2 linked regions of the Diceros bicornis minor genome follow. The protein of the gene in region 2 interacts with the protein of the main gene of each other region in a pairwise test. Links are inferred from orthologs where the notes say so. Each region holds a gene or a part of one and is shown on either strand. Other genes may lie near its edges.

Region 1 (3,744 bases), on a different chromosome or scaffold from region 2:
GATGTCACCTGCTTTGACTGCCTTGGTCACCTAAGGGGGTATGTGCTGTCAGTAGGATGAAAGAAAGAGGTGGAAAAGACTATCCCCTGCACCCTGGTGCATTGACCATTAGCAGGATTAAGTTATGTAATGGGACTCACTCTGGGCTCAGGAAGCCTCCCAGAGGTCATTTCATCCTGCTTCTTCCTTCTCCCCAGAGACAGACAGGTGTGAGCTCTGGGACTCCTCATCTATGATTATAATTGCGGAAAGGAGGTCTAGTCCTCCTCAACTACTCATTCTGCTGCTTCATCACCCGGTGAGTTGGGAAGTTCCTCCTGATGTCTAATCTAAATGCCCAGCCAGCACTGGAATGCCTACAACCTGAGTTGGAAGGGGCTTAGAATTCCGTGTTTAAAATTCTCCAAGGATTTAGGGTCCCTCCCTAATTGTTCCCTCCAGAGAAGTCTCTCATCCATTCCTGCCACCTTCTCAGGGGAAATGGCTCCTGTGTCTCGCCGCTCTGCCTGTCAAAACATTTCCCCTTACATTTCACCTAAACACCTCCTCTGCTGCAGTGTGAGCCCTTGACTCTGGAGCCTTCTCCTTGTTGCCATGGCAAACAGTGGCTGTACTCCCTCCTCCCTTCACCCCCCACACACCAACCCCCCCTTCCCAGCACTGCAGCTCCTGCTCTGCTGTCCCCAGCTGGGGTGCCTCCAATAGGGTGAAGCCCCAAATCAGATCCCTTACCCTCAACCTACCTACTGCCATCCTGGCCATCCCCTGGGACCCCTTCCTGGTCACTTCCAGTTTTGCTACTCTCTCCACCCCCAGAACAATCATCCCCAGCCCTCAAGTACTCTGCACTAGTTACTACCTGCTGCTGTTACCCTATGAGTCAGCTCCCATCTGCTCTGGGACGCCCCAGAGAGCAGACCCAGGCAGCCTCCTCCAAGGCTCCTAGGGCCACAAGCCTTATTCACCCCCATTCTCCCCTTTGCCTCCATATTCAGAGGAGCAAAAAAGAGTCCAAAGGTAGGCGTCTTAAGCCTTCTTTGGTGTCTCCAGGGTTGCCTATATATCATTGGGGACTTGTTGACCCCATTCCTAGGGGGCCCAACCACCCAGCCCTTCCCACCTCCCAATTTTCAGTCAGTTCCTTACTAGCAGCAGGGCTGCAAACTGCTCGCTGTCATTCTTGGCCTCACGGAGGGCTCCTAGGTAGCGCTCCAGGGTGGGGTTTCGGCCCTCTGCCTGGTTCAGAGCTGGCTCGCAATCCGAGGCCATGATGCCCGCCTTGCCCAACTGTGAACACAAGAGGGACTGAGCATCCCTCTGCAGAGGAGAGGTGGGGGTGGGGGTGGGAGCGGAGGATGGAGGGAGGGATTAGCACAGAGGGAGGGGAGGATCAAGAGGAATGGGCTCCTCAGGACTAACCTCCCTTGGGGAGCCTCTTTAAGGGGCCGGACCCTCAAATCCTTAGGGATGAAGAAGGGACCTGGTCCAAGGTCACCTCCAGAAAGCGGGAAAGAAGAACCATGCATCCTGCTGCTCCGCTGGACAGCTCTCCTCACCAATCTCCTGGGGGTGGGAGGAGGCTGGCCCCACTGCTCAGCTGTCCCCTAGCACCAGAGGCGGGGTTTTATCTCCCTCCACCAAGCACACATGGAGGGAGTGGTAAGAACAGACAGGGAGGAATGGAGACATACATGAGTGAAGTTCGATTATCCGGACTCAGGAGGACATGAGGGAAAAGGGCATCCTAGGTTTCCTTTCCTCTCTCTTCTTCAGAAGAGGCAGGAGACCAGCTTCAGCAGAACTGAGGATGCAGGGCGCTGACCAGGGAAGGTTTGGAAGCCCCTCTGGAGACCCCACCCCTCCAGCCAGGGCTCTCAGTCGCCCCCGCAGGCTCCTTGCCTCCTCTCCTTTCCCTCCCTCGGGCAGAAGCTGCAGCAGCAGCAGCAGCAGCAGCAGCAGCAGAAGCAGCAGCAGAATTAACCCCTTGCGCTCCCTCTCTTAGCCCTCCCTGCCCCGCTACCAGCCTGTGGACGGCGGCAGGGGCTGGAGAAGCAAGAAGGGGTCCCGGGTAGCTTCCAGGACAACGGAGACTCCAAAAGCCAGATAATCGAAGCGAGGCTGCTGAGATGGGGAGATGAGAAGGGGAGGAGGGATCCTGGCGGTCACCACCTGTCCCGCTGCAGCCAGGTCACAACACGACATTGATGAAGTCACGACAAGGCGGCGATGAGCTCACACTTCACGATGGCGCGGTGATGTCACGGAGATCACGGCAAAATCACGACATGGGACAGCCCCCAAAGATGACAAGGCAAATTAAAAAAACAGAGCTATATATTGAAAAGGGCTGTGACAAAATGGAGTCTCGACAGGGCACGATGATGTCGCGATATGGCGCGATGGAGTCGCGATAGGGTCCCCGGGGTGTGTCGCATCGATCAGCGCCGGCTCGGAGAAGCCCCGGCTGGGATGTAGGGGTGGGCCTGAAGGGGGCTGAGCTCACCAGGCTGCGGCCCCGAACGGCGAAGTCTTCTCCGAGCGCGATGCTCCAGGAGCCTGGGGCCGCTGCTCACGCCGCGTTGCCCACTCCCGGCTCCAGGCTGCTGCAGCTCCACCCCCACCCCCGCAGTGCTCTCGACCAATCCGCAGCGGCTTCACTCCAGGCTCTGGCCAATGGCGCGGCTGGGCGCTAAACCGTGGGGGGGTGCTGCCGTTGCCGCCATCTTTTTTGTGGGTATTGCCTGAGTCGGGGGCCTGGGGCTCGCGCAGGGCAGGCGAAGGTGCAGACTGCCTGTGGAGAGCGGGAGGCGACAGCCTGGGGGCCCAAGTTCCGTCGCTCGTGCGTAGTTCTACCCCCCAGCGCTGCCCCTCCTCCTCCTCGGGCTCGCGGCTGGAATTGAGCTTCCGGGGGGCTAGGAAGGCTTGCTTAGCAGGAAGAGTGTGTTTCCGGGTTGAGCCGAAGAGGTGGGAGGAGGCGGCGTTTCCGGCCGCCGTCGCTGTCCAGGGAGGCTGAGGCGACAGGGAGCTGTCCGGGTGGGGAGTCCGCACTACCTTATTCCTCTAACTCCTCCTCTGGGTGAGGGGAGCGAAAGTTGGGGCCCCGACCCCATGGACCGGGAGGAGGCGGAGGCCGCCGAGAGTCGGGGCCCCGCTGTGTGGCCCTGAGCCCCGGTAGGTGGCCGGGGGCGGCTGGCTGCCAGGCCGAGGACCACGAGCTCCGGGGAGGGGCAAGCGGGACGGGCTATTTGTGGGGGTGCGCTGGCCGGGTATTGGGACCCGGAGGTGGCGCTCCTGGCCTGGCTAGGACAGCCAGCTGCTTCTGACTTTACAGGTGCGGATCTCGAGTCCCAGGCTGAACCCCGTTTCTCTCGGGCCCGGGCCTGGTCCTGCAACTTCCTCCATTCCGTGACAGACAGACTGGGCTCGGGGCGCTGCTGTCTTCCTTCCTCCCTCGATGTGTGCAGCCCCGCCTTAGCTGCTGTCTCTGGTCTTTGGTCTCCCCACTAAGAGAAAATTGATGCAGAATAAGGGGGGCGGGGCTGAGCACGATGTGTAAATTATGATGCGAGACCTGCCTGATGCAGGACTTGGAAAATTATGCCCCACAGAGGGTCCTGTGGTGACTGCAGTGAGCACAAAGGTGCAATGAAGGAAGTCAAAGGTGAAAATGTCAGGCGGACTTCCAGGAAAGCTTTGCCGTCTCTCACCTCGTGGTGGCTGTGCCCAACCGGCAATAGATGCAGT
Region 2 (3,744 bases):
CAAGTAAACGCATGATTACAACGCAGTACCGGGAAAGCCACAATTAGAATGAGCATCTAATACAGATGGGGGAGTGGAGAAGGTGAAGGAACATTTTCCAGAAATGGCAAAGACTTCCATGCCTCTTTCCTACACTGAACCAAGTCCTGAAAGACCAGAAGGGGTTACCCAGGTGAAAGATAGGAAGGAAGGGTGTTTCTAGCAGATAGTGAGCGACATTTGCAAAATCCCAGAGGGAAGACACCGTAGAGTCTGGTTTGGAAACTGGCAGTGGTTTTTCAGAGCTGGAGTAGAGGCGGGGGGCAAAGACAGGGATGGAGGGCGTTGGCAGGCCCCCCCGACATAATCTCTGACCACGCTAAGGAGTTTGCATCCTGAAGGCGGCGGGCGGAAAGGCTAGAAGAATATTGAAGCAGAAGAGTAACAGGTGCATCACGAATTGTAATAGGATGGCTCTGGAGGCAAGATCATTTAGTTGTTTGTTGGTTTTTTTTTTGAAAGAAAACCAGGCAAGAAATAATGGGGCCTCAACTGAGAGAGAGGAGGTGGTGACTAAGAGATGCCAGCGTGTCCAACCAGTAGGACTCAGGGAGGGACTAGCTGTAGGTGTGGGGGAGAGGAATCGAGGAGGCTCTTGGCCTTGGCATCTTGGGTGACAGGGGCCGCGTTTTGTGCCAACTGACCACACCTTGGCCACCCTGATTGGGCCAGGAACGAGCACTTTACAAATATTTATTTCAAATATAAAAATGTACAGGGGAAGGACTGAGGATGGTGGTTACCGCTGAATGGGTTTTCATGGGGAGGGGCGAAGACGGATGGGGTGTGTGTGGCTTTGGCTTCATCTCGAACGTTTTAATTACAAAATAAAGGCTGATGTAAATGTAACATTAACTAGCGTTACATTTCTGTGAGCACGAGCACGCGGGTGTCATATTCTTTTTTGCGCTTTTCTGTCTGTTTGAACTAAATTTAATAACCAAATGGCAAAAACTGTTGTGGCAAGAATCGCAGGAGCTTTAAGTACCGGAAAGCCTTTGAGCTCTAGAAAGGGGTTAAACTAGAAAGCGGCGGGGGCGGGGAATGGTGCAGTTGCCAGTCTTTGTCTGTGCACAATGCGTGTGGAAAGAAAAGCCCCGGGGGACCTGTGCGTGCCGGCGGAGTTGAGCCGGGGTGGGCGGGGGAGGAGGTGCGCGCGGGGAGCTTCCCGCCTGGCCCCGCCCCTCCCCGGCCCCGCCCAGAGCCCCCGGCCCGCCGCAGCCCCTCCTCCTTCGGTGACGCCGCCTCTCGTCTCTAAGTAACGAGGGGGGGGTCAAACGACGCGGCCGAGGGGCGGCCGCTGCCTGACGGTCCCTTTCCTCCGGGACCCTTGAGCCCTGGCCGCTCAGAGCCATGGCCCTGCCGTTTCTGCCTGGCCACAGCTTCAAGCGCAACGTGAGTAGTGAGGGCGCCCAGGGTCAGAAGTCCCGGCCGGAGTGTGGGGTCCAGGCGTGGTCTCCTCCTAGACCCTACTGGAGGCCTCCTGCCTCTGCTTCGCCTTCTAGGTGAATTGGGCACAACTTCGACCAAACTTTATAGGCTGGTGGGACCCTTGTTCTGGGCCTCCCCTTCCCTGTATCTCTCAAACTGCATCTGGATGCTTTTCCTACATGAGATACATAAGTAGAGTCCTTAGAGGTGGCAGGACCCTCAGAGGTAGCCGATGGTAGTGATGATGATTACAACCGTCGTTGAGTGTTTGAGGTGTGCCAGGCGCTGTGCTTTCATCGCCTTACACGGCGTTTGATGCTCCCAACAGCCCTTTGTTTTAGGTAGTATTTTTATTCCCATTTTACAGTTGAGGAAACTGAGGCACAGAGCGATGAGTCACTCATTGGCCAGAGCTACACAATCTCAGTGGTGAAGCTGGGTTTCTTCCAGGCAACTTGTCTCCACAGCCCAGGAACCTAATTATTATCCTTAATTAGAGGAAGTTTCTGTTATTAAAGTGAAGAAACCTGGCACACTGGAGGCTAGTAGGGGGCAGATAGGTGAGGGTTCCACCAGCTTATAAAGTTGGATCCTAAACTTTATAGAGAGAAGCACCCAAACTTAAAGTTCTTTTCTTTATTTAGAATTGGGAGGGGTTCATTTCAAAACAAGATGAAGTTACAAAACACCATAACAACACAAAAAACCCTGAGCAGGAAAGAACTTTTGCCAGGAAATAGCCCCTTATTTAAACAACAGCAGAGAAATGATTCAAGCTTTTGTTTGCACTGGTCACTACTTTTTACTTGGAATGTCCGTTGTGTCTGTAGGAAGAAGGTAAGTAATCCACTGGTGGGAGGGAACTAGATGGAGCCACTCAAGGTGTTTGTGTAAACCTCTGATAAATTTGGAAAACAGGCAGCAGATTGAAGCGTTCGATTTTATGGAGTCTGAACAGTGTCTATGTCCAAGTTGTCGGCCTCCAAGTACCAGTTTCTTCCTGGCTTCAGACCACTGGATTCTGACCCCCACAGATCGGCTGGTTAGTCCAACTTGCTTCTTGAACAGTGGTTTGTGTATTTCTTGGCTGATAGGGTAGAGGCTGGCCTTCTAGCCTAGCACTGCCCTGTGGTAAGGTTAAGCCAGCCACACAAATAAGAAAGACCTCTGAGAGGCAGGGCATGAAAAAAGATTCCAGAAGGAAAGAAGCATGCTGTATAAAAGTAAGTTTAATAAAAATTGAAAGTAGAGCCCACAGCTTTCGCCCAGCGTCACTTCAGATTACAGATGCCCACCTCCTGCAGAAGTTTCCCAGCTCTCACATGCAGTGATTAAGAGTGGGAAGGAAAAACAGTGGTTGGATGAGATATTTTAAAATCTGCTGGCTGCACTGAGTGTACTTTTGCTTTTTTTTTTAACTTTTTTTTATTGTGAAGTACAACACATGTACAGAAAAATGCACAATGGATGATCACAGGATGAACATCAAGAAATAGAATATTACCAGTATTCCAAAAGCATCTCTCTTAACACGGTTGCCAGAGTTAGCAAATAAAAATACATATCCTAGATATTCCCTGGGACCTACTTATACTAAAAGATGACTTGTTCTTTATCTGAAATTCAAATTTAACTGAGCATCTTATATTTTATGTGGCAACCCTTCTTATGACCCTTTCTGGTCATTACCCCTTCCCTTTTCTCTAAAGGTAACCACTATCCTGGCTGCTGTCACTATAGTTAGATTTTGCTTGCTTTTGAACTTATCAATGGAAATGTCCAGTGTTTAATTCTTTTGTGACTGGCTTTTTTTAGCTCAACATTGTGATTTGTTCATGTGGCTGTCTGTCGAGGTAGTTTGTACATTTTCATTGCTCTATAGTATTCCATTGTATGAGTGTGACGTCATTTATATACACATTTTTCTCTTGACAGATTTGGTTTGGGTTTATTAAGCATAGTTTGCTGTGGCTATTCTGGTTCATGTCTCTTGGTACAATTGCTAGATCATACGGTATTCGTATGTTCAGCTTTAGTAGACACTGTCAAAGTGATTATATCAATTTAAATTCCCACCAGCATTTGATGTTCCTCTTGCTCCACATTCTTTCTAACACTTGATACTGTTAGTCTTAGATTTTAGTTACTTTGGTCAGTGGATGTAGTGCAACTCTGTAGTTTTCATCTGCGCTTCCCTGATTCCTAATGAAGTTAAGCACATTTCATACATTTATTGGTTATTTGGATATTGTCTGTTGTGTAGTGCCTGGCTCT

Evidence for each region.
Region 1: the proteins of EFHC2 (region 2) and NCDN interact in binary tests that used the Homo sapiens proteins (3 or more experiments, as listed by UniProt). The two-hybrid records come from large-scale screens. The link is inferred for Diceros bicornis minor from reciprocal best matches to the Homo sapiens genes EFHC2 and NCDN.

What each region holds. Positions count from the first base shown.
Region 1 is NC_080752.1:49,869,369-49,873,112, reverse strand, and holds the start of NCDN (neurochondrin), read right to left. Parts: upstream 2,697-3,744; 5' UTR 2,504-2,696; exon of another isoform or gene 2,238-2,503; 5' UTR 2,203-2,237; coding exon 2,170-2,202; exon of another isoform or gene 1,420-2,169; intron 1,318-1,419; coding exon 1,147-1,317; intron 31-1,146; coding exon 1-30. UniProt on the Homo sapiens protein: Probably involved in signal transduction in the nervous system, via increasing cell surface localization of GRM5/mGluR5 and positively regulating its signaling. Required for the spatial learning process.
Region 2 is NC_080781.1:38,621,437-38,625,180, reverse strand, and holds the start of EFHC2 (EF-hand domain-containing family member C2), read left to right. Parts: upstream 1-1,332; 5' UTR 1,333-1,392; coding exon 1,393-1,434; intron 1,435-3,744. UniProt on the Homo sapiens protein: Microtubule inner protein (MIP) part of the dynein-decorated doublet microtubules (DMTs) in cilia axoneme, which is required for motile cilia beating.